Linked DNA regions of Tamandua tetradactyla. The main gene of each other region encodes a partner of the protein of the gene in region 2 in a complex. Links are inferred from orthologs where the notes say so. Each region holds a gene or a part of one and is shown on either strand. Other genes may lie near its edges. The genes, in order: MKS1, TMEM237, B9D2 and B9D1.

The links.
Region 1: TMEM237 (region 2) and MKS1 share a complex: the UniProt entries of both Homo sapiens proteins name them as parts of the tectonic-like complex. The link is inferred for Tamandua tetradactyla from reciprocal best matches to the Homo sapiens genes TMEM237 and MKS1.
Region 3: TMEM237 (region 2) and B9D2 share a complex: the UniProt entries of both Homo sapiens proteins name them as parts of the tectonic-like complex. The link is inferred for Tamandua tetradactyla from reciprocal best matches to the Homo sapiens genes TMEM237 and B9D2.
Region 4: TMEM237 (region 2) and B9D1 share a complex: the UniProt entries of both Homo sapiens proteins name them as parts of the tectonic-like complex. The link is inferred for Tamandua tetradactyla from reciprocal best matches to the Homo sapiens genes TMEM237 and B9D1.

Annotation. Positions count from the first base shown.
Region 1 is NC_135332.1:39,209,177-39,216,566, forward strand, and holds the start of MKS1 (tectonic-like complex member MKS1), read right to left. Parts: upstream 3,007-7,390; 5' UTR 2,963-3,006; coding exon 2,883-2,962; intron 2,515-2,882; coding exon 2,405-2,514; intron 1,378-2,404; coding exon 1,307-1,377; intron 495-1,306; coding exon 339-494; intron 1-338. UniProt on the Homo sapiens protein: Component of the tectonic-like complex, a complex localized at the transition zone of primary cilia and acting as a barrier that prevents diffusion of transmembrane proteins between the cilia and plasma membranes.
Region 2 is NC_135329.1:176,262,948-176,270,093, forward strand, and holds the start of TMEM237 (transmembrane protein 237), read right to left. Parts: upstream 3,022-7,146; 5' UTR 2,734-3,021; coding exon 2,471-2,733; intron 1-2,470. Other genes in the region: MPP4 (MAGUK p55 subfamily member 4), read right to left, coding at 4,876-5,067, 6,358-6,492. UniProt on the Homo sapiens protein: Component of the transition zone in primary cilia. Required for ciliogenesis.
Region 3 is NC_135342.1:22,441,396-22,448,761, reverse strand, and holds the start of B9D2 (B9 domain-containing protein 2), read right to left. Parts: upstream 3,019-7,366; 5' UTR 2,956-3,018; coding exon 2,921-2,955; exon of another isoform or gene 2,840-2,920; intron 2,748-2,839; coding exon 2,656-2,747; intron 1,918-2,655; exon of another isoform or gene 1,732-1,917; intron 1-1,731. UniProt on the Homo sapiens protein: Component of the tectonic-like complex, a complex localized at the transition zone of primary cilia and acting as a barrier that prevents diffusion of transmembrane proteins between the cilia and plasma membranes.
Region 4 is NC_135332.1:2,671,342-2,678,703, reverse strand, and holds the start of B9D1 (B9 domain-containing protein 1), read right to left. Parts: upstream 3,004-7,362; 5' UTR 2,878-3,003; coding exon 2,815-2,877; intron 1,816-2,814; exon of another isoform or gene 1,723-1,815; coding exon of another isoform or gene 1,675-1,722; intron 1,421-1,674; coding exon 1,352-1,420; intron 1-1,351. UniProt on the Homo sapiens protein: Component of the tectonic-like complex, a complex localized at the transition zone of primary cilia and acting as a barrier that prevents diffusion of transmembrane proteins between the cilia and plasma membranes.

The DNA.
Region 1 (7,390 bases), on a different chromosome or scaffold from region 2:
TGTTCCAAACTCTACCTTCTCTGTCTCACCTCATGATGCATGGAAGAAGTTCAGTGACTGCTTCTCCCCCATTTGCAATGTGCAAGCCTATCACTACAGATGCTGATCCATGCCAGCTTTGCCAGGGCCACCAGCAGGCAGAGAAGGGAGCAGAAGACACACCATCTGCAGATTGTGCCCACTCAATCAAGTTTGGCTGCCAGCAGCACACAGCAGTTTCTGGGCTAGCTACTTGTTTCCCCATAACAGGCTTCTTATTAATACACAGAACTCACTGAGGCTAGTAAGTAAGGGAGGCAAAAGAGAAGGATGCGATGGGACCTTGGAAAGAAAAATACCTCTTCTAGGTTGGTGTATCTATCAGAATCAGTATAGGTAAAGATTCGTCGATTTTTCCTGCCGCCTGAATTCTCCAGCTGCAGTATCTCTTGACGGTACTGGTGATCCAAAGGGCTCTGGCAGGCTGCTTCATTTTGGTACAAATCTATCTCAAACTGAGGTCACCAAAAGAAAACAGAGTTTACTGAGAGTACTTCTAACTGTGGTTCTTATCACTTTCTAACTAAACCAGTTCTATAGAACAAATGCTATTTGACATGTTTTCATAACCAACTCTCACTCATCCAGGCTAACAGAGAGCAGGGTATTCAAAGAATGTTAAGAAGTAAGAAGAATAAGAGTAACAGTCTAATCCAACTTCCCTGTTATAGAGTGCACCTGGCCCAGAGGTGAAAAGTGCTTTACCCAAGATCATAAAACTGGCTAGTGGCAGTCAGGATTTGACGCAAGTCTACCTGAACTCAAAGCCAGGGCTATTTTTCACTATGTTCTATTGCCCCTGTACTACAAGGCAAAGTATAAATGGTTACAGTCTTTCTGGAAATCAGTTTAGTGATATGTATCAAGAATCTCCAAACTAATACTTTCATCTAGTTATGTTACTTCTAAGAATCTAATTTGAGAAAATAACCAGAGTAAAACAGGGTCTAATACAAAAATATTCACTGAAATAGTTTAAAATTAGTGACATGGGGTGGTAGAATGGTGGGTCAGTGGCAGAATTCTCGCCTGCCATGCCGGAGACCTGGGTTCATTTCCCAGTGCCTGCCCATGTTCAAAAATAAATAAATAAATAAATAAATAAATAAATAAATAAATAATAAATAAATAAATAATGACATGGGTCTAGGGCACCTTTATGGCAACAGCCCTCTCTTTCAAAGTTGGGGTTTTTTTTCCCTGCAGTCATCCAAGTGGAAATGGACCAAGTGGAGGAAGATTCAGTGGACAAGTCACACTGGCTTACCTGGCTAAACAGTTTCTCCTGCCAACCAATCACCACCTCCTCCTCTTCATCTTCATCCGGACGGTGTCCACCTTCAAAGATAACAGACCGAGTCAACTGCTGAAGCCAAACCAGGACCACTTCTTACTCCTCTGATGGTTATAATCAAAGTCCCTGCTCTTATGTCTGGCTCAAAAATAGCTGGAATTCGATGGTTTTTTTAGCACTGACTCTAGACAGAAACTAGAGAGGTTATGCATGGGCTCTGTTTAGTATGTGCAAAAGCCAGAATTAAAACCGAAGAAGTCTTAAATACTGTTCTAATTTGAGTTAAAGGTAGCCCTGCCTTCCAGGAATCATTTAATCTAACTCAGTATAAGGGGCTGAAATTTAGATAAAGGATGACAGCCCTTCCTTAATCTCAACTGTCTATATTTACTAAAAAGGAACACTGAAGCCATCTATGTAGAAGCATAAAATTTTTAAAAGACCCAAATCTAACCCACTCCTGGCTGAGCGTGCCTTTTTCAGAAACACATACTTCACACCCCTCCAGCCCATATGTTTTCTGGGAATATTTTTTAACAGAAACAGAAACATGATAAAACCAGAGAGACTAGTAACCTTACACAAGCACACTGTGCTTTCTTCCTCAACTCTTCTGGATTCCCAGACAAGGAAAAGCACAACAGCACTGTCGATGTTAACATGTGCATTCTTCAAGCAATCCTCAACTTTAAAATGGTCTAACAAAGCATTCACATCATTTAGAGTTCGGAACATATCTTCTCTTAGGGGAAAAATGGTATTAAAGTTGTCATTTCTTCAACATTTCTAAAGTATGGCTTTGTTATTTTACTACATTTGACCACAATTCAGATCAATGTCTCAATGGCAGGAATCATGGCTTATTCAATTTTCATACACAACCTAGTGTAGTAGTTAAAACTGCCTGGGCAAGGAACCCAACTTCTCTGTACTGCAGTTGCCTAGTCTGAAAAAGGTGATTTCTCTCACACTCACACATAAACCTGAGTGTGCTCCATCTTAAAAGTAACTCTACCACAACAGGTTCTTCCCCAGATTCCCAGGAGGCCACATCACCACCAAAACACTCACTGGCGCTCGGGTGGGGCCTAAAAGTTGCCAAGTCTATGAGGTCCTTCCCAGGCTGGGCAGCAGGCTGGTACTGGAAAAAGGTGCTTGATGTGATTCTTTGCAGGTGGACGCTGTCAGGAAAAGAGAGGCCCAAAACACGCGTTACAAGACACACAACCAGAACTGAACACAGCAAGGATAGTGGGGGGAAAAGCAGAGGGCAGGGCTGCTAAGGTGCTCTGGGTGCAGGCCACTAAGGGGAAGTCGGTAGGGCGCGGGTGCTGACGAATCTGGGTGGGGAAGGAACTTAAGAGGAGGTCTTTAAGCGGAGAGGCGTCCTGAGAGGCAGCGTGATGCTGGGAGGCCGAGGAGGGTGTGTGTGGTCGGGTTTGAAAACGGAAGTCGGGGAGTCAGAAAAGCGAGAAAAGAAGTCAGGCTCGAATTATTTGGGGGGCGGGAGAGGGGAGCACAGGACTCCATGCCAAGGCGGTGCGACTACCGGAGGCGCAAGTTGCGCACGGGGTCGCGGGAACGATACACGGCCTCCGCAGTGTCAGGACTCCAGACGGTCTCCGCCATGACCGCAGAGTAGCGCCGCGCCACGACAGCGCCGGAAAGCGCGCCGCCCAGGTTTCCCTAGTAACGAAGACGCTGGATTCGCGGGGACACCCAGGCGCTGCGTGCGCAATCCGCGCAATCCCGGTGCGGCCCCGCAGCCCGCCCGCCCGCCGGCCCGTGCAGTCCCGGCGCAGCCGAACGCCTAAGGCGGTCCACGGCAGCGTCTCACCTGGTCAGCGTATGAACAAAGCTCACTCATACCCAAGGCCGGACTTGATGCATTTACAAATAAAGAAACCGGCCCAACCATCAGCTCGTTTCATATAGATGAAGAATGGTGATAGGGACTCAGGTGGCCCACGCCCATTATCTCCATTCTGCCACACCGCCTTCCACTGAACGTTAAAACTTTGGCCTGAAAACTGATGAACGTGAATCAAAGAAAGCACCCACTCTTTCCAAAGGAGTCAGGGAAGATGATTGGCACTTACCCACAATCGAAACTATATCCTTGGAGAGGAAAATAAGGTGGTGTCCATTCATTAGTCGTTGCATTGGCATTCACTAAGCGAGAGAAAGAAAAAACAAGGAAGTCAACAGTAAGGAAGGGGGAAATGTTATTAGTGAACAGATTCTTCCCCTGTGTATGTTAGTTCTGGGTCATTAAGCCACCTTAGAAACTGCACTGGCGTCCTGAAAGACCAACAAAGTGCCATTCAGGAGACATGCTTCATTGAACTAGCATAGGCAGGACACACCATAACCTTGAGTCTAGCTCCCTGGCACCTTGGGGATATCAACATTTATTAGTCTTTGACATCTGGTACTCTCCCAACAGAGTAAGCAATTGTCTCCTCAACTCATATCTCATGCCATTTGATTATATGGCTCTGGGAATTCTGGGGCACCATAACCCCTGTTATGTACCTTGTATGCATTGTCCCAAATCCTCATAGAAACTCTTCAAGTAGGTATTCCCAATTAACAGATGAAGCCAATGAAGTCCAGGGAATTATAGGTCTTAGTAAGGTTGTACTACTAGTGAGTGGTAAAGGAGCTAGGATTCCAGGCCAAGTTTATCTTTTTCTGAAACCCGAACACCTTACACTGCACTTCAAAGGCTCTCACCGATCAGTTTGCTCCATGAGAGAGAGAACACAGTTTCCAGTCTGGTAAGTAATTATTTCAACAGATGAAACATGGAGGCAGAATACTAGTTCTTAAGAAACGTTCACTCTAAATTTTCCTTTCACAGTTGTGAATAAACAATTTAATGTTATAACCAAATTGAATGCACACAAAGTCAATCTGACATAGTTGTATGCAAAATAGTAAATATACTACATGGTATGGAAATTTAAGCTCTTTATATAAGGGACTAAAATTAGTATTATTCTTATACAGGTAAACTATATTTTTCATGCTTTTTTCTTTTTCACTGGTACATATGAATCAGGAATCCTTAAAATGAGGGTCTCTAAGTAGAGTTCAAGGAATCTGTGAACCCCTTTCTTAGAATTTAGTGAGGGACATTTTCTGGAAAGAGTTCATGATTTTTATCAGATTCTGGAAAGAATTTATACCCTGATATCAAGAATGGTCCTACTACATTCATATTCTAACATCTTGTTTCATATGAAAGGTTTGGACTATGCAGCATAAAGGCCAAAATTCCATGTTCCATCATCCATAAGCCTTCAACCCCACCCCACCTCTGTGGTTCAGAGTTGATATCCACTGTGTTCTCCCTGAAATAACATCAGCATCTGTATAAATTGCTTTGTCTAGAAAACACTTGCACATATACTATTTCATTTTATCTTTACAGACTTTATAGATATTCTTGTCTCCCTTTTATGTATTTGTAAACCAAGACATTAATTGAATTTCCCACAGTTGCCATGACAAGGGGGCGTAGAGTCTAGCTTACATCTTGGACTCAAACCTATGGGCTTTCCTTTGAACAGTGCTCCCTCCTTAAATCTACTCCCATCCCCAGCTCCTTCCCAAATTTTTATTTCCTAATCCAGGCCCATCTGAGCCACATCAGAACATTTACTACCTGATTTCTACACTTAATATAACTATATGGTGAACACTACAATGTGGTATTGGCATAAAGGTAGACATAAAGACCAATGGAACAGAAGAGAAGCCCAGAATAAATAGATATATATGTGGTTAATTGATTTTGACAAAGGTCCCAAAGGATTTCAATGGAGAAGGGATAGTCTTTTCAACAAATAATCCTGGGATGATTTACCATCCAGACATCAGGGAAACATTCATACACACACACACACACACACACCACAAAAAGCAAAAATCCTCAGCCCCTAACCTTGAGCAATTTAATAAATTACAGCAAAATTGATCAGAGATGTAAAAGTAAGAGCTAAAACTGTACGGCATCTAGGGTGCACAGGTGGTTCAGTGATAGAATGCTCGCCTTCCATGAGGAAGACCCAGGTTCGATTCCCAGACCATGCACCCCCACTCCCAACAACAGCAAAAAAACCTGTAAAACATCTAGACAAAAACATAGGAGAAATTTTTTGAGACCCTGAGCTGGGTAAATACTTCTTAGAACTCAGAAAGGACAAACTATGAAAGAAAAGATTAATAAATTGATCTTCATCAAAATGAAAAACTTCTGTTCTTTGAAAGACACTGTTAAGACAATGAAAATACAAGAAACAGACTGGGAAAAATATTCGCAAAACACATGCATATCTGATAAAGGACTTATATCCAGAATACATAAAGTCCTCTTAAAACTCAGTAATAATAAGGCAAACAATCTTATTATTTAAGTGGCCAAAATACTTTAACAGATACTTCATCAGAGTAGACATATAAATGGCCAATAAGTCCTTGAAAAGGTGTTCAACATTATCAGTCATCAGGGAAGTGCAAATTAAAACCACAATGGAATACCATTACGCACCTATTAAATTGGCTAAAATTTAAAAGATGGACAATACAAAGTGCTGAAAAGGATGTGGAACAACTAGAACTCTCATACAGGGTTGATCAGAATGCAAAATAGTACAACCATTTTGGAAAACTGGACATTTCTTATAAAGCTAAACATTTGCCTACCATATGATCCCCAGCAATTCCGCTCTTAAGTATTTACTCTAAAGAAGTGACAACATATGTTCACACAAAGACCTGTATGTAAACTTTATTCATCAATATTTATTTTATTCATCAAATAAATTTATCTACAATAATTTGTAAATATTGAAACAAATTGTACAATATTTATTTAATGGAATATACTCAACCTTAGAGACGAAAGAACTACTGACACATAAAGCAATATGCTAAGTGAAAGAAGCCAGATACAAAAGGCTATATATACTATATGATTTCTTTTATATGACATTCTAGAAAAGGACAAACTATAGAGATGGAGAACAGATCATTGGTTTGGAGATAGGGGTTGACTGTAAAGGAGCAGCTAACACTCTCAGCAGCTGGTAAAGAGGACCTGGGAATGAGACCAAAAGCATCTGCTACAAGTAACGCTCTGGGGAGGTGATCCAGGAAATGCTGGTTTGAGAAGGGGGAAGAAAGGAGGTAAGGAAACAAAGCCTAAAGTAGGCATTATCAATCAAGTTCCACTGAAGACACCCAGAGCTTCATCCCTTTGGGGAACTCTGGCAAATGGTGTAGAATAGGGATTCTCAAAGTGTATTCGTGGGTGAGGAGACATGGGCAGGGCACCAGCGGCATCTACCACAAATGTTATTCATAAATTATTTTACCATAATACAGAAACATCGTGGACCATTGAAGGCTTTGATTTTATGATCACAATCTGCAAGTAATATCCTTTTTGGGGGGAGGGGAGGGAGTGTAGGGTCCAGGAATGCAGGCAATATTCTTTTACATTCTATAGACTCCCTGTTCTATTCCCACCTTGGACTACAGTAAAGACAGAAAAAACTCAGGCCAACTTAGTGCACCAAGAGAGCGAGCATTGAGCATCCCACCATTTCCCAATCCCACTTACAGGCAGTGTGTCAACAAGTAGAACAGGTGGGACCACTATTATCACACGAACGTTACCGGAATCAGTAGGAGACCAAAATAGGTCAGCAATACCCAGAAGCTGAGCCTCTGAAGCAGTTTGCTTGTAAATCCCAGCCAGATCTCAAATGCCTTTTCCTAAGAAACATACTAAGCTTTTGATAATTAATTGCTTTTATCTTAGTCAGCTCCATTCTTCCCTACAGGTCCCAACAGGTTAGCCCATGTCTCCAGGGACATGTCCTGACATGGAGCAATAGGGGTGTTCTAGATGGCAGGACTCGGATGATTTTGGCTCCTATATGCCCCTCTCTCTGCAAGAACAGATTTCAATTGTTTAGAAACACAAGCACTTAAAAATTCAGCTTCTACAATCTCCCTTTCTTGATATTCTCCTGGCAATCAATCACA
Region 2 (7,146 bases):
AGAGACTAGGCTTGGAGTGTTCCAGGTTTAAAAAAAAGCCAGCAAGGCTACAGCATTTACCAATGAGAGGAAGGCAAGGGCCAGATTCATCAGGGTCTTTTAAACCAAGAGGAATCCTCTGAGTTTTGTTTTAATTCAGTGGGAAACCAAAGGAAATCTATAGTGATAGAGTAATTTTTAAAAGATCACTATGAATTTAACTTGAAGTACGGATTTTAGGGCAGCAAGAACAACCACCACAAAAAAGTTAAAAACCTAAATGCTCCTTTACGTGAATAGGAAAATTTGTGTTTGCAATTCAGAAAGCATTACAGTTAAGAAGCATTCTGGAATCATTCAAAATAAAATACTAAACACTGAATGAAGCTGGATATGAAAATGATAGAGGGAGGAGGGGCATAAATGAAATCAGAAAGAAAGATAGACGATAAAGATTGAGATGGTATAATCTAGGAATGCCTAGAGTGTATAATGATAGTGACTAAATGTACAAATTTTAAAAATGTTTTTGCAAGAGGAAGAACAAAGGAATGTCATTACTGGAGGGTGCTGAAAATAGATGGTAATTAATATATTAAAATTTCAACTTATGTGTGAAACTAAAGCAAAAAATGTTTCTTTGGTACAAAATTTATATTTTGACTGGTACATTTCCTAATATAACTTATGTAGATAGCTTGGTTGAACACCATAAGTACATGGAACCTTGGGTAGGACATGAGATTTTGTTGGTTCGTCCAGAGTGATGACCAGATGAATCCCAGAGTGATTTGATCAGTGAGTGGAAAAGTATTTGCAAAGTCCCCTTCAGGGAATGGTGAGAATGGGGGAAAATTCAACCTCCCCAAGTTGAATTCTTGATATTCTCACAAGCAGTATGGACAACCAAAGCTATAGGCTGAGCCCCCAGTCTTGGGGTTTGTTCACATGAAACTTAACCCCACAAAGGATAGGTCAAGCCTACTTAAAATTATGCCTAAGAGCCACCCCCAAGAGAGCCTCTTTTGTTGCTCAGATGTGGCCTCTCTCTCCAGCCAACACAACAAGCAAACTCACCACCCTCCCCCTCTCTACGTGGGACATGACTCCCAGGGGTGTGGACCTTCCTGGCAACGTGGGACAGAGATCCTGGAATGAGCTGAGACTCAGCATCAAGGGACTGAGAAAAACCCTAGAATGAGCTGAGAATTAACATCAAGGGATTGAGAGAACCTTCTCCACCAAAAGGGGGAAGAGTGAAATGAGACTGTCAATGGCTGAGAGATTCCAGAGTTCAGAGGCTATCCTGGAGGTTATTCTTAAGCATTAAGTAGATATCACCTTGATATTCAAGATGTAATGGAGAGGCTGGAGGGAACTGCCTGAAAATGTAGAGCTGTGTTCCAGTAGCCATGTTTCTTGATGATGATTGAACAATGATATAGCTTTCACAATTTGACTGTGATTGTGAAAACCATGTGTCTGATGCTCCTTTTATCTACCTTGTCAACAGACAAGTAGAACGTATAGAATAATAAACAATGGGGGAACAAATGTTAAAATAAATTTAGTTTGAAATGCTAGTGATCAATGAAAGGGAGGGGTAAGAGGTATGGTATATATAATTTTTTTCTTTTTTCATTTTATTTCTTTCTCTGTTGTCTTTTTATTTCTTTTTCTGAATTGATGCAAATGTTCTAAGAAATGATCATGATGATGACTATGCAACTATGTGATGATATTGTGAATTACTGATTATATATGTAGAACGGAATGATATGCTTAGAATGTTTCCTTTGTCATATTTTTAAAAATTAATTTAAAAATTAAAAAAAAAATACTAACAAGATAGGCTTAGAAATCAGCTTACCACTCCAAAAATCTCATGCTGCTTTTAAAGGACATTGATGCTAAAGGATTAAATTTTATCATACAGACAGAAAGTAGATTACAGGTTACCAAGGGAGGGGGGATGGGAAATCACTGCTTAATGGATTAATGAATACCCAGTCTGCTTGAGTTAATGAAAAAGTTTTAGTAATAGATTGTGGTGATGATGGCACAGTATTGTGGATGTAACTTGAACATTAGTATCACTGAAGTGTACACAAAGTAAGTGATTAAAATGTTAACAAAAATAAAAACTGTTAAATGTTAGACACTTGTTTGTTCCATTTAGCTGTCGTCCAACAGTATACTAATTCAAACGCTATAAGGTTAGGCAAACCGTCTTAATGTACAGCAGTCAGAATTACAACTTAAAAAAAGGGTAATCAGACGGATGCGCCTTTGTTCTGAAGATGCCGTGGACCGCGTTCTATCTAAGAACCCAGTTCAAACGTTAACTCCTCCCTTCAAAAGTCCCGCAAAAATGACGTTTCACCCATCTAGAAATCCAAGTAAGTTTTTAGTAAGCCCTTAAAACACACGTCGCCTCAACTGAACACAGAATTTTCACGATTCAAATAAATAAAAGTAACTGTCTCACGACCTGCTTCCTTCCCATCCTAAACCCGAGCGCCCTGCCCTGCGCGCAGCCGCAGTTCCCTGGCTGCCCGGCACCGGCTCCGCCCGCGGCCTCCTGGGGCGGGGTGGGAGCGAGGAGGAGAGCCTGCACCTGGTCCGACCCCTCCAGTCCGCCCAGGCGGAAAAAGGGGCTCGAGGAGGAGGTTCACGTGCCGGGCCAAGCCGCTGCGACAGGCGTGAAGCAACAGTCACGGTTTTTCCCGTGGTTTCCTGAGTAGTTGCGGTCATTTCTTTGGGGCACGTGAGGGAAGATCATGATGAAAAGTCTCCGTGCGCAAACAGCCCTGTCTTTCCGGGGCAGCCGAAAGCCCTCGCGGAGGAGCGGTAAGATAGGCCTCAGCTGAAGCGCGGAAACCGCGAATAAATGCGGCGGTGTCATGACAACGCGGGCGCTCGGGCCCCTGGGAGCTTCTCGCGGGGCTCCGGGAGTGTGGTCCGGCCTCCTCCCCAATCTTATCAGCCCGGGAGGGGCAAATACGCGAACCCTGGGGGCTGGGCCCTCGCTTCCCGGCCCCCGTCCGCGGGCGTTGGCCCGCCCCCGGGCGGCTGCTGGGTTAGGGCGCCCCCCACCCCGCCGCCTCCAGCGGCCGACGCGCCCTCCCCGCTCACCGGGACGTTCTCCGCCAGCCGGGGCTCCGACTCGGGCCTCATGCTGCTCTTCCTCCGCGGGCTCTGCTGGCAAAACCGCCGTGGGGCCAAGCCCGATTCCCCGCAACTCTGCAGCCTCCGGGACCTGAGGGAGGCGGGGGCTCCGGGCGCTCCTGACTAGGCCGCCGCCCGGGAAGCAGGATTTCCTACCCGTCTCTGCTGGGCCTGGCTCTGCCTTCCGCGGTGGCGGGATTAGGGACGACACTCTCCCTTTGTCTCCCTCCCCATACCGCCCCCCCCCACACACACACACCCCGGCGCACAGTTTCAGGGCGTGTGTGTGTGTGTGTGTGTGGAGATACAGGCAATCCCCCCCCTTTGTGTGTGTGTGTGTGTGTGTGTGTGTGTGTGTAGATACAGGCAATCCCCCCCTGTGTGTGTGTGGAGATACAGGCAATCCCCCCCTGTGTGTGTGTGTGTGTGTGTGTGTGTGTGTGTGTGTGTGTGGAGATACAGGCAATCCCCCCCCCCTTTTTTTTCTCCAGCTGTTTATCTTCCACTTCAAAATTGTGTAAATCGAGTTTGGGAAACCTTTTTCTCTCTCGAAGAACCGCAACATAAAATCAAATCCGTGTCATGATTTAAAAAAAAAAAAAGTGGATCTCACACAAAAGGAGACCAGTGGTTACCTGGGGAGGGAGCTAGAGGGAAGAGTATACTGCAAAGGGGCATGGAGAAACTTGGGAGTAAGGATAGCATTCTGTATCCTGACTGGCGGTAGTTTCATATGTAGATATATCTGTCAAAATTCATCAAGTTGCACACTTTAAATGAATGCGATATATTGTACATAAATTATACTTAATAAAGTTTACATTATAAAATAAAATCCGGGCTCACATAATCATTAAAAACTAATTTTCTACAAAGTTTTGGTTGGCCGGTTGGGTTTTAAAGAAAAATAATATACTTACTCACTTTAAAGAACTACAAATATTTTGAAGCACTGAAGTTTGTTTTATGGTTAAGAAAGGGGTGGTGGGATGGTGTGACTATGGAGAAAAAGGGTAAAAGAATATAAATAGATACAGAAACAGGGAGAGTGACTGGAAGTCCCAGACCCAAAGGAAGAAAGAAAAATCAAGACACTTTAGACTTTTCATGGACTAACATCCTCATCAGGTGTTTTTCTCATATACTGTTTCTAGGACTAAGTCCAATACCTTTTCCTAATTTAAGCATAAATAAGGATATGGCTTTTACGAAGATCAATGATTGGAACAGACCTAATCAGAAGAATGACTTTTCCTTGTAGCTTGATTTATAAATGTTGTGGGCAGTGCAGTTTCTGTATGTTTTAATGTTAAATGTGTATACAACTCTTCTTTCTTGCTTAGGCAACTAGACACTTTTTGTGTAGGCACCATGTGACATTTTCTTTAAACGAATTTCATAAAGTAAAATACTGTGTCTGAAATTAAACACTATTTTATTCAAGAAAGCTCTTTTTATCTAAATCCTACAAAGACCATGTGAAATAATGAAAAGTTCTCATCCTCCATAATTTGACTTTGTTCATGTTCTCATCATTGTTGCAAATGAAGTAAAGGAAAAGCTTTTTTCATTTAAATAAGATTTGATTTAAATAAGATAAATTAATAAGCATCAGCACTTTTAAATTGCACACATTATCATGGATCAATGTTTTACATTGCAGTTGTTATTCCAGATCCCTGTAACAAAGGTACATTCTTAAAACTCCAACATTAAACTCCCGCCTCCCTAACATTCAGCATTAGAAGAAATCCATGTTGCTGGGACCCACTGAGGCTCCTCCTGAGCCTTCCTTATGGCAGACAACAACTGAGCACATGCATCTTGCAAGTTGTCATTCACAAGCACATGGTCAAAAAACTGGCCAAACTGAGACTCCATTTTTTGGGCTATATCCTCCATTTCTTGCAAGTCTTCCTCCTTCAGAAGAAATAGAAAAATACGTTTAGCACAGATTTAATGGAACAAATAGAAGTAATGCAAATTTTTATGCTGTCACATTCAGTTGAGAAGTTATTTAAAATAACAATTAGGTCAATAATTGTACTCTCTTCTAAACCACAAAATTTATGATTCTATGGTTAATCTTACTCAGTTTTTCCCTGGTCAATGTTTCACAAAATTGAGTGATGATTAATTGACAGACAACTCCCTCTCTCTCATGTAGATTTAAGTTATTTTATTATATTATCTAAACACTTGAAGCTATCAGAGCAAATACAACATAAAACCAAAGCATATTTCCCAATTAAATAAAATTTAAACATAAAATTCAAATGAATATTCATCTGTTAAGAATGACAATATTTTGCAATACAAAATGGCCACTTCCAAAGGGAAGGATGATAACTGGCAGGTATGAACCAGTTCTATTGAATTAGGCACACCTAAATTGCATTTACTTCATGATGACTTTAGCTATAACATTCTGCACTGTAGCTATTAAGAAATGTCCATTCATTAATGAAGGTCATTTAGCCTTCACTTGTTGCTAGGGCATTAAATTCATTGCTATTATTTTCTTATTTGTCCATTGCAACTAAAAGAGTACTGCTTGTTGCCAATGAAGTCATAAACCCAAATGCAAATCAGGCATTGAAATCTTGTAGCAATACTCCTTTACAAAGTGGCCATATACCTGATCAGAAACAATTGTATTAATTTGTTTGGACTACATCAAAATGAAAACACAACACTTTAAATGCTAGTAATATTCAGAGACTACATCCATGGTATCCAAGCTCCTAAATGCAACCTGGAGAATCAGACTTTCATGTAATGTAGTCATTGGAAAAAATATGAAGATAAAAATAATAAAAGATGAATAATATAAAGATGTCTCATATTACAAATGTATATTCACTGCAGCATTTTTAAACTTCCAAGTGAACTTATTTATAAAATTAATAGTCCTTTTTAAATACAATTAGGTTTCTGCACACTCAATTTCTGTGTTTAAAAAGGACTTTTGCAAACTGTGGCTTTGAGGCCTTTTTTTTTAAGCTAACTCCACAAAGGAAAGAAAAATGATAGCATTGTAGCATTGATTAAACTTAAAATATCTGTAATTGATATCCAGTTTAAAAAAGTCAAAAGAAAATTACACATTAGAAACAAAATTTGCATTCCATAACATAAGAATCCTGTGGAAATATGCAGTGATCTTTTTTACTAGAAAAAAAGAATTCATCTACTTCCTCTGTGTCTTACCTTGAACTTCACGTCCACAAAGTAGTCTGTAATGATCTTGGCATTCTTCCGAGATTGCTTCATACAACTCATGTTGGATGGCTTTATATATATAACATAAGGCTTCAGTTCATGGGTTCGAGCCACTTGAATATCCTACACAGAAAAACAGAGGTCCTAGTTTCCTAGAGTCAGCATGAATGTTCTCAAAATTCCTGAGACCGGAAATTAGCAATGATTTTTTAGCCACAGTATATTTTCAATGTGCCTCCAAGTCCTCAACTCCAAAAGACAGACAAACATTTTAATAATCAAGAGGTGAAGCTCTAGAATACATAAGGCTCAGAGAATACACAAGTGTTCCTACCTAGTTCCATTTATGAACTAGGACACCCTTATTAAAATCTGAGAGTAGGATTCTGTATGTGCTCCCATGGGACAAAGATATAACTCTTCTGGTGCACCAGCTCTTTTCACCCTCACTTCCCTTTCATCTCACTATTGTCTCTCCTTGGATACTCCTGCCATTCTACCAAACACTGATCACAAGGTTTGATCCAGGTAAGAACAAATCTCTCTTTCCTTGATTCTCTTTAGCACATAATTCCATTTCTTAATGACTGAGGAAAACCCAAGGATCATAAAAATTGGGACTACTCAATTTGAAGCCATTAAAACCAGCCTACAACCTTGCCTCTGTCTCCACCACGCCCCCAGCAGAGAGAGTCTTCCAAACTTAAAGGTGCCACATCTTTTGCTGGTAGGACCCACAGGCAGACAAGTGCCACATACTGGGCAGGATAAGAAAAA
Region 3 (7,366 bases), on a different chromosome or scaffold from region 2:
ACGTGTTCCTGCCTTTGCAACCTTGGGTGAGATAACTTTCTCTGCCTCAGTCTCTCATCTGTAAAATGGGTGTAAGAATAATACTTTCCTCATCGTTCTTTGAGAGAATCAGAGTTAATACAGAAAAAGCCCCTAGAACGGCACCTGGGAAATAGTGAGTGCTGGGTAAGGGTTTGATATTTTATCACTATTCCCACCCCCACATTAAAAATCCTAGTGCAAAGACTAAGATGGGGCTGAGGGTATCATCTATGGGGGCACAGTGGAAGAATAGCAATTCTGTTGAGGGGTGATAACAATAGCAAAAGCATACTGGGTGCTCACTACATGCCAGATACTGTATGAAGCACTTTAGGTAATGACTTCATTTAAGCCACCCTCTAGGATTCTTAATCCCCACCCATTCCACCCCATCCCCCAGCTCTCAAAGCCCTCCCCCACCCCCATCCTCAGCTCCCATCGCTTTTCCCCCTCCCCAACTTACAGCCTCACTGGTCCTATTTCTGTTCCCCAGTGTGCCGTGCTCATTCCCACCTCAGGGCCTTTGCACTTACTGCCCAGAAATTGCCACTCCTGGCTCTCCCTATGGCTACCTCTTTTTCATCCTTCAGGCCTCAGCTCAAGTGCCATTTCCAGAGGGGCTCTCCATAGCCCTGCTATCCAAAAACTTGTCTCTTCCACATCATCCCACTTTTTTTTTAATATGTGATCATTCCATTCTACATATATAATCAGTAATTCACAGTATCATCACATAGTTGCCTATTCATCATCATGATCATTTCTTAGAACATTTGCATTAATTCAGAAAAAGAAATAAAAAGACAACATAAAAATAAAACGAAAACAGAAAAAAAAAACAAAAACAATACACACCATACCCCTTCTCCTCCCTTTCACTGATCACTAGCATTTCAAACTAAATTTATTTTAACATTTTCATCCCATTTCTTGTCTTCCTAGCATTGACCACTATTGCAATCATTGCACTCATTTCTTTATCTGCTAGTTTTATTTTCAGTCTCCCCTACTGTGAACACTGGAAAAGCAGGGACTTTGTTCACTGGCCTATTCCCAGGATCTCAAACCCAACACACAGAAGGCTCTCAATAAAAGTTTGTTGGGTAAATGAAAAATCCTATGAGGTGAGTGCTAATATAATACTCTTTTATAGGTAAAGAAACAGGCTCTGAGAAGGAAAGTCACTTGACCATTCATTCCAGTAACATGTATTACACACCTGCTGTGTGCCAGGTGCTGCTTGGGGCATAGTGGTGACCACAGCAGACCAAGGTCCCACAGTAAACTCAGCTCTGTCTGACCATGGAGCCCAAGCCTTTGATCTGACTGCCCCTGAGTTCTCCTCAGGACTAACCCCCATCCCCCGCCCCAATCCCCAACAACTCCCCAGATTAGCAAATTATGTTAGTCGTTGCTCCCTTCAAGGCTGGCTGAGCAAAGCATCAGGCCCTGAGTCAGGCTTTTCACATACCAGCTCTCCCAGTAACCTATGGAGGGTGAATGCCACTCCCACTTTACAGATGAGGAAACTGAGGCTCTGAGAGGGGACAGCACCTGCCCAGGGTCAGAAAGCAGATGAATGGTGGGGCCCAGACTGGAAACTAGGGCTGTCTCTACAGGCTGCCTCTTATCTACTCTGAACTTCCAGGGAATCTCAATACCACACCACCCACCAGTGAGGTCACAGAGGACCTGGGGCCTGCAGGGAAAGTGACAGCCACAGCCACACTCATTGCATGGTCATTTACCTGGTGCCTTACAAACAAGACCCGTTCAAATTCTAATATGAGCCAGGCAAACCCTGCTTGCCAGACCACGTGCTAAGTGCTATTGCTATTCATTTAGTCCTCACAACAGCTCCATGATGTATAGGTTGTTATCATTCCTGTCGTACAGGTAAGGAAACTGAGGCAAGGTCACATAATTAAGAAGTAGCAACTGTTTTTGAACCAACGCAGTCTATGCTCTTGACCTCAACATGGTGACTCCTCTTAGCTGCTTTTTATCTTAAGAAACTGAGGCTGGGAAAGGGAAAGCCCAATGGTCCCCAATTAATTGATGGGGGAATTAGTACTTGAACCCAGAGCTGGTGGCCCTAACCCCTACACATACTGCCTCCGATGGGAAGGTGGGAAAATTGGGGGGTTGGGAGCCTTGCTGGGCCTGCCTCTGTGGACAGACTTGAATGACTGCCAGAATGGTGGGCTACCTTCACGGAGAATTATAAACACCAGGGGGTCAGCTCTCCTCTGTAAATATGGGGTAGAAACATCTACTTTACACTAAGAACTGTAAAGATAGCAGCAATTTGTTAATCAAAGAATTATTAAGATGAGGGAGAGTCTAAGGGCACCCCTAAGCCAGGGAGTGAAGTCCAAACAGAGTTCGGGCTGCGTAGTGTTTTGAGGATTGGAAGTGGAGGGGTACAGCCTACAGTGCCATATGCTTAAGAGGTTGTGTGTTCCGAGGGTAAGAGCCAGAGCCCTCAGCTACTGAGACAGCCTGAGACTCATGAGGATGGTGACTGGGCTTTGGGCGCAGACTCGGAGGGCAGATGGAAGATGAGGATCAGGAAGGAAAGCCGAGCCTCTGGGCTGGGGGTCTGGGTGAAGAAATGAACCGGGACCAGAATACCTGTATGGACGCCCCACTTGCAGAAGAGGCTACTTTCCGAGAAGCCAGTGGCCCCCTTGATCTGCCCGATCACGTGCACCTCGGCCATGGCCCTGAGAGGAGAGAATTAGAAGCACAGTGAGGTAGTGCATTATCTCCACATGATAGTTGAGGAAACTGGGGTCCGACAAGTACGTGGCAGTACCAAGGTTCCAGGCCAGATTCGTCAACCCCCTGCGGGCTTGTGTATTTAACCACACCCTTACTGTCACCCCAGAAGAGTCACCGAAAGATAGGCAGGCTGGGCGGAGAAGCTGGCATTTTAACTGTCCCACCCCAAAATACTTTCCTCCGGCTCAGTACAGCGGAAAGCCCCGCCCCAGGAGCGTAAGACCCCGCCCACATGGGGCAAAGCCCCGCCCCTTGCATGGATCGGCCCCGCGCTCCAGGAGGCGCATGCGTCGTTTCTGCATTTCTGGGCGCAGGACCGCCTTAGCCCCACCTCTCAGAGCAGCGCATGCGTCGTTCCGAACTCGGCGCACATAACGTTTAGGGGGTGCGAAAGTGTCAGCGGGTATTGCAGTCCATGGCGCTAACCTGTCCCTCTCTTAGCGGGCGCTGATTTCTCAGGCCTGTCTTCCGCCTCTCCAGGCTCCTTCCGGCAGCGAGAGAGCTGAGGCGGCGGCCTTTCCGCGGCGGCGCCAGCCTCCGGGTTCCCTGGTTGTTGCTGGGCAACAGCAGCCTGCTCCTCCCAGGCTTAGATCCGCCCTGCGCGTCGCTAATTGGTGCTGGCGTCCTTAGGGGGCGGGGTAAGGATGTGATTGACTGTTTTCTCCTCCCGTCTCGTTCCGGTTGGGGAAAACTGCGTCTCTCCTTCCTCTCAGACACTTGGGCTCGAATGGACGGCTGCCATCTTGAGTGTGGCTGAGGAAGTTTGCGCTCCAATTGTTTTATCCAGATATTCTCTCTCTCTCTTAGCTGATTAGAGAGTAAAAAGTGTTCAACCATTTGGAAAACTGGTCGTTTCTTATAAATATAAATATATGCCCAACTTATCACCAATAATTCCATTCTAGAGCTATTTAGTCAAGAGAAATGAAAGCACGTGCTCACAATAGATTTGTACAAAAATGTTTACTCCAGCTTTGTAAATGGCCCCCAAACTAGAAATAACTCAAAATTCCATAAAAGAATAGATTTTAAAAGAATTGTTATACTCTTACAATGAAATACTACTCAGCAATGAAAAGAAAAACTACCGACATATACAAAACATGTGTGAACCTCAGAAATTTTATACATGGTAGAAAATGTCCAACGTAAAAGAATATTTACCGTATGATTCCACTTACAGGAAGTTCCAGAACTGACAAACCTTCTTTACAGTGATAAAATAACTGCACTGGTTGCCTCCTGGGAGGTTGGGATTGCCTGTAAGAGGGCCCGGATACTCTCTTTTTTTTTTTAAATTTTTTAATTTTATCTTTTTAAATACCAAAGAACACCAAACAAGCGCAAGTATTCTATTTTGATCATTCCATTCTACATATATAATCAGTAATTCACAATATCATCACATAGTTGCATATTCATCATCATGATCATTTCTTGGGATATTTGCACCCAGATACTCTCTTAACAAAATAAGTGCATCAGTCCATGTTCAGTGCCCCCACCCCCCACCCCCCAAAGAAACACTCTCTTCCGTCCAGGACCACAGACCAGAGACTTGAGATAAGGTCAAGGGGGACATGCCCTCCAGGTCATTGTGTGCATCCCTCTGCCTCATAACTGGAAAGAAGTCCTTCCCCATTCGGAGAAACTCCAGAAGTTGGGGAGGAGGATTTCCTTCCATTTTTAGAGGTTACCCCCTGCCGCTTAAGGACGGATAAGTTCAACTTCCTTTTCAGAAATAGTCCCTCTTCCCCCATATTGCTGGTATCGAACAAGACCAGGGTGAATAAATGAGAAATGAGAAACAGAGCCACTGTTTATCTGCAAAAATCTCGTTTTTAAAGATTGGACTCCGCCAATAAGGTCTCCTGTGACCCCACCCGGGTCTAGTCTCAATTATCTCATCAATGCAAAGGGTGCAGGGAGGGTGGGCTAGAGTCAACCGTGTTCACCTGAATTCCTGCGCAGTGCCTTTCCCATCCCCAGTTTCTATGTCCACCCGATCCAGGACTCCAGTGAGAACTGATTCCGTATTTTTAGCAAAACAGGAACTTCAAAAGTTAGACTCACCAACACGAAATGATGGGGCAACATTTCAATATAACATTTATATAGACATAAAATAACTGAACAGGATTATCTCATTAATAGATGTATTTAAAAGCTACCATGGACGGGCCACGGTGGCTTAGCAGGTAAGAGTGCTTGCCTGCCATGCCCGAGGACCCGGGTTTGATTCTCAGTGCCTGCCCATGTAAGGAAAAAAAAAAAAAAAAGCTACCATTTAATGAGTTCTGCCTCTGTGCCAGCCTCTGAACTGACCCTATTACATGCATTATCTGCTTTAATCCTCATAGATATCCACCCGGTAGGTGATATTATAGGCCCCATTTAATATGAAGAAATTATGACAAAATCGTTTGCCTTTAGCCAAATTGATCATAGTTCTTTTCTATCTCTGTCCTTAAACCTTAAGTTAATTTACCTGTTATCCTGCCTGTCTTGATACACACAGGTATCGAAGGAGTCTGAAGGTTGTGCTTGGAGGTCACCCCCCACTTCATAACTTCCACTATCTAACTGTTCATTAAGTCCTATCAGTGCCCTTTCTTTTTTTATTTTAATTTTTTATTTTAGTTATTAAACATGCCATCATACAAACACAAACATTCTTCCCACAGGATCATTCCATTCTACATATATAATCAGTAATTCTCAATATCATCACAGAGTTGCATATTCATCATCATGATCATTTCTTAGAACATTTCCATCAATTCAGAAAAAGAAATAAAAAGAAAACAGAAAAAAATTCATACATACCATACCCCTTACCCTTCCCTTTCATTGATCACTAGCATTTCAATCTACTAATTTTATTGCAACATTTGTTCCCCCTATTATTTATTTATTTTTACTACATGTGTTTTACTCGTCTGTCCATGAGGTAGATAAAAGAAACATCAGACACAAGGCTTTCACAATCACAGTCACACTGTGAAAGCTATATCATTATACAATCATCTTCAAGAAACATGGCTACTGGAACACAGCTCTACAGTTTCAGGCAGTTCCCTCCAGCCTCTCCATTACACCTTAACTAAAAAGATGATATCTATATTATCTGTAAGAATAATTCTCCAGGATAACCTCTCAACTCTGTTTGGAGTCTCTCAGCCATCGACACTTTATTTTGTCTCATTTCTCTCTTCCCCTTGTGGTGGAGAAAGTTTTCTCAATCCCTTGATGCTAAGTCTCAGCTCATTCTAGGGTTTTTCTCAATCCCTTGATGCTGAGTCTCAGCTCATTCTAGGACTTCTGTCCCACGTTGCCAGGAAGATCCACACCCCTCTGGGAGTCACGTCCCATGTAGAGAGGGGGAGGGTGGTGAGTTTGCTTGCTGTGTTGGTTGGAGAGAGAGGCCACATCTGAGCAACAAAAGAGGCTCACTTGGGGGTGACCCTTAAGTCTAATTTTAAGTAGGCTTAGCCTATCCTTTGAGGGGTTAAGTTTCATATGAACAAACCCCAAGATTGGGGTCAGTGCCCTTTCTTAAGTGTTTTTTTTCAGTTGATTTCTTCCCCACTGGTTTTGGTTAGTGATTACGAAAATGGACTCCACAGGTCAACTGCTTGCATTTAAGTGATGGCTCTGTCCCTTTCATGTGGAATAGTTTTGCCTATTTTTTGGTACATTATATAAATGAAATCACACACAGTATATATTCCCTTGTGTCTGCAGTCTTTTGCTCAGTGTTTTTATGAAATTCATCCACACTGTTGCATGTAGCTGTAGCTCTTTCTTTTTCATTGCTGTATCGTTTCTACTGTGTGAAGACACCACTAGTTCTGCATCCTACCATTGGTGGGAATTTCTCTTTTGGTGGACATGGTCCACAACTGTTGGAGTGGAATTTCTGAATCACAGGACATGTTCAGCTATAGAGGAAGCTGCCAAACAGTTTACCAAGGGGTTGAACCAATTTGCTCTCCCAGTGGCAGTGCCTTCGTGGTTCCCCTCTTCCACCAGCCGTTGGTATTTCTCTCTTTTTCCTCTGAGCCTCTCTTTTTCCTCTGATGGGTGTGTGTTGGTGTGGCATTGTGCTTTGCTGATGACTAGTCAAGCCCCCCTTTTTTTTTTAATTAATTTTATTTATTAAGCATACCAACTGTGCTGGTTTGAAAGGATGTATGCCCCCAGAAAAGCCATGTTTTAATCAAAATCCCATTTCATTAAGGTAGAATAATCCCTATTCGATACTAAACGTTTGAAACTGTAATCAGATCATCTCCCTTGATGATGTGATTTAGTCAAGAGTGGTTGTTAAACTGAATTAAGTGACGACATGCCTCCACCCATTTGGGTGGGTTTTGATAAGTTTCTGGAGTCCTATAAAAGAAAAAACATTTTGGAGAAAGAAGGAGATTCATAGAGAGCAGAGAAGAACGACATAGCCATGAGAAGCAGAGAGCCCACAAGCCAGGGACCTTTGGAGATGAAGAAGGAAAATGCCTCCCGGAGAGCTTCATGAAACGGGAAGCCAGGAGAGAAAGTAGCA
Region 4 (7,362 bases), on a different chromosome or scaffold from region 2:
CCCAGCCTTCTACTTAATTGCAACTCTCTGCTGCCAGGTGCTGGGGCTAAACACCTTGGCATCATTCTCAACTCCCCTTTTTCTTGTACCCCACAGCGAGGCCAAAAGGAAAACCTGCTGGTTCTGCCTTAAAAATACATTCAAAATCCCACCGCCCTCCCCACTCCCACTGCCACCCACATCGGTGTTTCTGTAACCATCAGCTTGGTCTCCCTGCTGTCGTCCCTGTTCCCCTGTAACACAGCCTGTTCTCAACCCAGAAGCCAGAGGGATCACTTTAAAAGAGAAGTCAGACCCCATGTTTGCTCTTGGTTCCCAGTGCTCAGATGGGGTTTGGGTTTCACGTCACCGGGTAAAGAACAGGGTCGCATTTTGACCTCAAAGCCCTATGAAACCCGCCCCTCTACCACTACTCTGCCTCGCCTTCAAGTTCCCTGCTCCCTCACTCTGCTCACTGGCTGCACAACTTCCCTGCTGTTCCTTCAACATGCCAGGTCCACTCCTGTCTCAGGACCTTTGCACTTTCTGCTCCCTCTTTCTGGAAGGTTATCTCCATACACTTCCACGTGGCTTGTTCCTTCCCTTCCTTCTTTATTCAGAAGTTACCTTATCTGTGAGCCCCTCCATGACTACCGGATGGAGAGGCCAACCTCCCTCTTTTCCTTCATACCCCTTCCCAATTTATCTTTCCCCTCAGCACCTATTGCTAGCTGACAGGCGAGAACGTTTACTATTATTGTCTGTCTCTCTGCCATAAGAATGTGCACTCTGGGAAGACAGGGACTCTTATCTGTTTTGTTCACCACTGTCTCCCCAGCACCCAGAAGGCTCTCAGTAAATTGCCACCCAAGGAAGAAGTGGACGGAAGACGAGCACTATTACCTCAGTTGTACAGATGAAGAAACTGGGGCTCGGGGGTTAACAAGTTGGCCCTTCATTTCCTCAACTGCCCAAGCAGCCTAGAGACAGACTGTTCTGGGAAATCTTGGAAAGAAAGCTCTTGGCTGCCTTCCTACTCTCAGAAGTTGTCCCCGTGGCCGAGGAGATGCCACACAATGGGGGGACTGGCCCGCAGTGTCACAACTGGCCCCATGTGGGCTCTCTGGGGCCGGCCTGCTGCCTGCACACACGCTCCTCCTTGCTGCTATGACCGTGCACACGGGTGAGGGCAGCCTGCAGGATGAAGTGACAGTCCACCCAACCATGGCTGCATTCTCCACTCCAGCCCTACCAGGAACAAACTCCTGTTGAGGTTCCCCTCCAAACTGTGGATTCACCTCTCCATTGGCTCTGAACCGGGCGGGGAAGGGCGTGATAGACGCCATGAGGGAGGACCAGGAGTCCAGCTTACCGCCGTGGGGGCCCAGTCCTGGCCATACACAAAGCAGTACTTGCAGTAGAGGTCGTCATACTCCGGGAACTGTGGAAACAAGCACACACAGGCTCTGTCTCCGAGAGTTCGGGCTCAGACAGACAGCAGCGAGCCAGGTGCAGCCAAGAGGAGTTCTGCACAGGAGGTACCTGATGCGGGGCCTGGGCGACAGCTGGGGCTGAGAAGTGGGACCCTGAGAATCCCAGGCTGCTGCAGCCCCTGGACTTTTGCTCAGGCTCTGCTTCCTGTGTGACATGCTTTTCCCAGTCCTGGCAAATCCCTGCTTATCCTTCAAATCTCACCCTTTGGGAGGCCTGCCCCAGCTCGCCGGCTGGTTGAAGGACCGCCATTTGGCCGCTTCAGCATCTGTGCTTTCCTCCATCACAGCACTGATAGCACATATCTGTCTGTCAATCCTAGTAGACTGTGAACAGGTCTGACCCCTGCAATGGCACAGGAAAGGTGGGAGGGACTGGTACCAAAGCGAAAGGTGTAAGAACGAGGAAGGCCACAGGAAGCACGAGAGGGCCTGGAGAATGGGAGGGGCCTAAGAAAAGGGAGAGAAAGGGCAAGGGGGGCAGGAGTCTGAGTTCTCAGACACATGTGGCCCAGGCCAGCTGAGAGCCCCCTAATGGGATAGAACACGAGAAGGTGGGGGCAGGGAGAAAGTCCTGGGCACTAGGCCAAGGGAGAGGTGGAGAGGGCAGACCTAAGATAGAAACTTCCCTGACAAAACTGGGGAAGATAGGAGCCACCCACTAAGTGTCAGGCCCTGGCAGAGCTTTGCCTAAACCAGATCATTTAATCCTCACAATAATACAATAATAAACGCTATCTCCAACCTCCTGAAAGGTTGTAGCAGAGCTGTTTTAGTCGGAAAGACGGGTTCAAATCCCAGCTCTGCCAGTCCCCCGGGCAGGTGTGCCCGTCTGTGAAGTGGGGGTGTACCTCCAAGGGTGGTTGTGCGGATTAAATGAGAAGTGTTCGGCACGTACTTGGTGCACGTTGGCTTTCACTTCTTTACAACAATAAATGTCTTTATAAAGTGTCGGGGGATAAGCATTCTGTCTGACACACCCTCCCTGGTACATTCTAGGCCCCGGTCACCATCGCTGGGTCCTATGACCTGAATCCGGCCCTACGAGCCCAAGCTCAAGGATACCTGGGTTCAGAGGGCGCCCTGGACTCGGGGTCGCGAGGACGAGGCCCCGTGCGCCCGCCGGGCCGGGTCCTCGGCGACTCGGGTCCGAGGCGTGTGACCTGGGTACGACTCAGCTTCTCAAGGCCTCAGTTTCCACCCGGCTCGTGCCCCGCCTAGCCCATGCCGGCTCCGTCCGCGCGCCACCGAGGGAGTCTCAGGGGAGCGACCCGGCCCGCCAGGGTCCACACCGAGCCCGGGGGAAGAGGGGCGCCGGCCCGCGGCGGGGCCCACGGCCGCTCACCTGGGCGCTCTCCACCTGCCCGTTGACCATGAGTAGGAAGACGCTGGGCACCGCGGCCGCCATGGCGGGGTTGGGGGCGCGGGGAACCCACCCGGGCCAAGCGCGCTGTTGCTAGGAGGCGCTGGGGTTGCCTTGGAAACCGACGGCGTGCCGCACAGGACACGCTTCTCGGCAGCACGACCTTCGCGAAAACAACTGCGTGTGCGCCGTCCCCAGGCGTTAGGGGAGGGGCGGGGCTTGCAGGGCCCTGGGGGCGGGGCTTCCGCGCGAGTCTCCGGGCCCGAACCGAGACCGTCCGGCGCGCGTGGGCGCTGGAGGCAGGGAACTGAACGAGCCCGGAGCCCCGCGCAGTCACGCCCGGAGCTGGCCGCTGAGGGGAGGAGGGCGCCCTCGGCCGCGAGGCGTCGCTGTGGCCCGCGGGGAGGACGGCGGGGACCGCGCAGGACGGTGGGGGGCTGCCAGGGCCCTGGGGATAGCTCGCGAGCCCATCCAGCAAATGGGGCCCTCCAGGCTCCTCGGAGGAAACCGAGGCGCTGTCCGATGCCCGCAGGCCGTTCGGACAAGGCCCCGGCTTCTGCTGACAGGGGACCCGCGTCCCCCGCGTCCCCGCGTCCCCCGCGCCCCCAAGCCCCCGAGCCCTCCGCGCACCACTCGCCCTCCGCGCCCCCTGCGCCCCCCGCGGTCCCCGCGCCCCCGAGTCCCCTGCGCCCTCGAGCCCTCCGCGCCCACTGAGGTTTGTTCTGCACGTTTGTCGCGTCGGCGTCGGGGCTGACGCTTGCCCCCCTCCGGACCAGCCCGCCCCAGGACAGGTGTGTAGCCCCACTGGGCGACGTCGGAAGTGCTCAAGGAAGACTCCTTGATGAATGGGTGAGAGAACCCCCCATTCAGCAGGGAAGGCAGCTGGGACTCAGAGCTTGGGGAGCTGACGTGGACACTCAGGGGCAGCAGCGGGACGACAGCCCCGAAGTTGCTGCTGGGCCAGTGGGTCGAGACTGGCATCCAGGCATCCTCCCGGATCCAGGAAAGGAAGGTGGGCGTAGGCGCACAGACTTCAGGGAGGCCGTGGGAGCAGGGAGCCCAGGCCATCACCCCTTTAGCACCCAGTGCCTGCTGGAGAGCCGATGGGGGGGGGGCTGTCAACCACCCCAGAGGGGAGGGAGGGAGGGGTCACAGCCCAGCTCCACCCAAACAGCCCCCCCCACCAGGTGAGCAGAGAAATCTTTTGGGGGAAGGCGAGCTGTGGGCTCACATGTGACAGGAGAGGCTGCGGGGAGGCCGGATGGGTTGGGGGCCCCTCTGGGAGAAACAAGGCAGGAGCTGCCCCCTCTCCCCCAGGGCACTTGGTCACACCCCTCACTCACGCTGTTTCTCGCCATTTAAAATCACTAGAATACAAATTTAAACGAGCAAACCTAGGCCTGTGCAGCACAGTTCTCACCCCCTCACCCCAAGCCAGGGGCTGTAGTTAATAGGACAACAGTCAAGTGTTCCTTCATGGGTTGTAACAAATTACTACACTGAAGCAAGATGTTAATAATAAGGTGGGTGTATATGGGAACTCTGCATTTTCTGTAAATCTACAGCTTCTTTAATAAAAGAAATCATAGTAATAAAAAAAAAAACATGCTTATTCCTACAAACTCCACAAACCGCCCCCTTCTTTCCTTCTTATGGCTCTTCAGGCCGAGTGTTGCACAGAAGTATGTTGGTAGCAAAATGCTTGAGGTTACAGAATAAGCAGGGGGTGACCGGTTCTTTAAAGCCTGGCTGTGAAAAAGGCTGCCCCCCATTTCAACAGGACATAGCATGCGGGGTTCCCCAAGGGGCAGGGGCAGGCTGGCCCCATGTCTTGGATGTTGGGGAAATGGGAGACCTCAGGGTGGAGTGGGAGTGGGTGGGAGGGTGGCCATGCTGAGCTCGATCGAAGTCTGGTGGCATTGGGAGGGTGCGGGTGGAGTGAGGGGTTCACAGGAGTTCAGGGGGGCGGGAGGGGGGTCTGGGGCACGGGCCACCCCGGGGCAGGGGGTGAAAGGCACTGGCTTGGGCAGATGCTGTACAGGATTGGGGTGGGAGGAGGGGTCTGCCTGTACCTGCTCCCACATTTCCTCTGTTGCCAGGGCCACTTGGGGGCAGTGGCTCCTTCCTAGTCAAAATCTCCGGGAATTTCAACCAAGGAAACCCTCGTGTCTGGCCTCCCAGCCCAGGTCGCCTCCCCAGCCTCCCTCTCCCGAGGCTTCCATGGAGCCTGCAAACTGCTGGAGGCCCAGCTCCCCTCCAGGCAGCAGGTGTGGCTCGGCAGAGAAGGAGGTGGGAGCTCTGGTTGGCTTACTGACCATCTCAGGGCCACCCAGCAGGAGGGGACAGAGCAGGACTGGAGCCTCCATGCTCCCCCTCTGCACCCCAGAGCATACACTCCTGCCTGTATAATTCCTGGATCCCTATGGCTTGCAACCTGGAGTGCTTCTTGGAAGAAGGGTCCCTGGGAGGTGAGTGGTAGAGAGTGGAGGAGGGGGTTTAGGCACCGTGGCCAGAGGTCTTGGGAACTCTGACCAGGTTTCCCTCCTTGGCTCTCAGGGCTCCTAGAAAAACCAGCTCACAGGCCCACCCTCTACCAAGCAGAATTCTCCCTCTCGTCCCGAAGTTCATTATCAACTCTGCTTGCTTTCCTCTCAAGACAGGGAGCTCAATCATTCCTATGGCATCTGGGTCCCCTTTACAAGAGCCTTCAACCAGCTCCTACCCTCAGGATTTTTTTTGTTTTGTTTTGCATGGGCAGGCACCAGGAATCAAACCCAGGTCCCCAGCATGGCAGGCAAGAACTCTGCCTGCTGAGCCACTGTGGCCTGCCCCACCCTCAGGATTTTAAAGGCCATTTCCCTATCCCTGCAACTTAGACAGCTTCCCTGCAACTTCCTGTCACCTTCTCTGCCCTGGACCCCGTGCTCCTGTTAATCTAACCCAAGACCGGGTGACTGATTTTAAGAAAATCTGGATGCTCAGTCCTCAAGGGGTGGGCCCTTTCCCTCTACTGCCCAGGACCCCTCCCCACTGCTCTTTACTCAGTAGCAGCAACAGAAGAAGTGGCGACATTTCTGGAGGGGGTGCAGGTGCGTCTGGCCTTCTCGCTGGCAGCCCAGGACATTTAACCTCTCAAATTTCCTCCCATCGGCTCCCGTGAGGCCCATGCACCCGGCCAGAGGGAACTGGCCCAGGGAAGAGGAAGCTGCCAGAGCCCTCGCTTTCAGATCTGCCCTGGGGTCTGTGCCAGGGGGACAGGCCTCCCACAATGGTCCCTCCGGCTCCGCCTGCCACTGCCCCCTGCCTCCCCTGCACCCCGCCATGCGATCCCTCCCCAGCATGCTCCCGACGGGCATGACAGCTGCCCCACTCCCTCGACTTTGCAGCTGCTATTCCCTCGGATGCCCTTTCCACCTCTTGTGACCCAAAGCGTCCCATGGAACATGGACATCCGGGTAAAGCACCCCTGTTTTTGACCCCCACGCTGTCTGCCCCCCAGCCCCTTGGCCCCAGGCCTGCCACACCAGTGCTGTCTTCTGGTGGCCCCGACTGGACTTGAAGCTCTCAGGGGGGCCTGGAGGAGGGTGCATACTTTGGAGTCACTTACCAAATGCCTGTTACTCTGCACGCATGAGGGGATGGGGGCTTCTTGGGGACCCTCTGGGGGCCCCCAGGCCTAGAGCTCAGCTCTCAGCTGAGGGCCGGGGCGGGAGGGTGCAGAAGATTCAGGGCCCCCAGACTCCAGCAGCACAGCAGACTGACAGGTCCCCAGGAGGGAGCTGGGGTCAGGGGCAGAGCCCAAAGCGGAGGTTCCCATCCCTAGCCTGTCTCTAACATGCCACGTGACCCTGGGCAAGTCATTGCCCTGCTCCAGGGCTCTGCGTGTTCATCAGTGGGGTCGGGGTAGGGTGATGCCTGGGTGTCCTCGCTCCACTGTAAAGTCACCCATCTGCCTGGGCTGGGATGTATAATGAAATATATATACATAATGAAATCTGACATTTTTTTTTTTCATGGGCAGGCATGGGGAATCGAACCCGGGTCCTCGGGCTTGGCAGGCAAGCATTCTTACCTGCTGAGCCACCGTGATCCACCCTAAATTTGACATTTTTAAGTGCACAATTCAGGGGCATTAATTAAACTCACAATGTTGTGCCACCATCACCACCATCCATTACCGAAACTTTTCATCACCCCAAACAGAAACCCTGCACCCATTAGGCAATAATTCCCTATTCCCCTCCTCCCAATCCCTGGGAACCTCTACGTTCTGTCTCCATGAATGTGCTTATTCTAGATATTTCTATAGGAATCCTGCAATAGCTGCCCTGCTGTGTCTGGCCCGTTCACACAACATCATGTCGTGGAGGTTGGTCCACATTGCAGTGTGTCAGGGCCTCATTCCTGTGGCCGGCTGGATGTTCAGCCACCATGGGGAGGCACCAGGGTTCATTTCTCCACACACCTGCTAAAGGACACCTGGGGATTTTCCACCTCTGGCCTATTGGGAATAATGCTGCCACGCACATT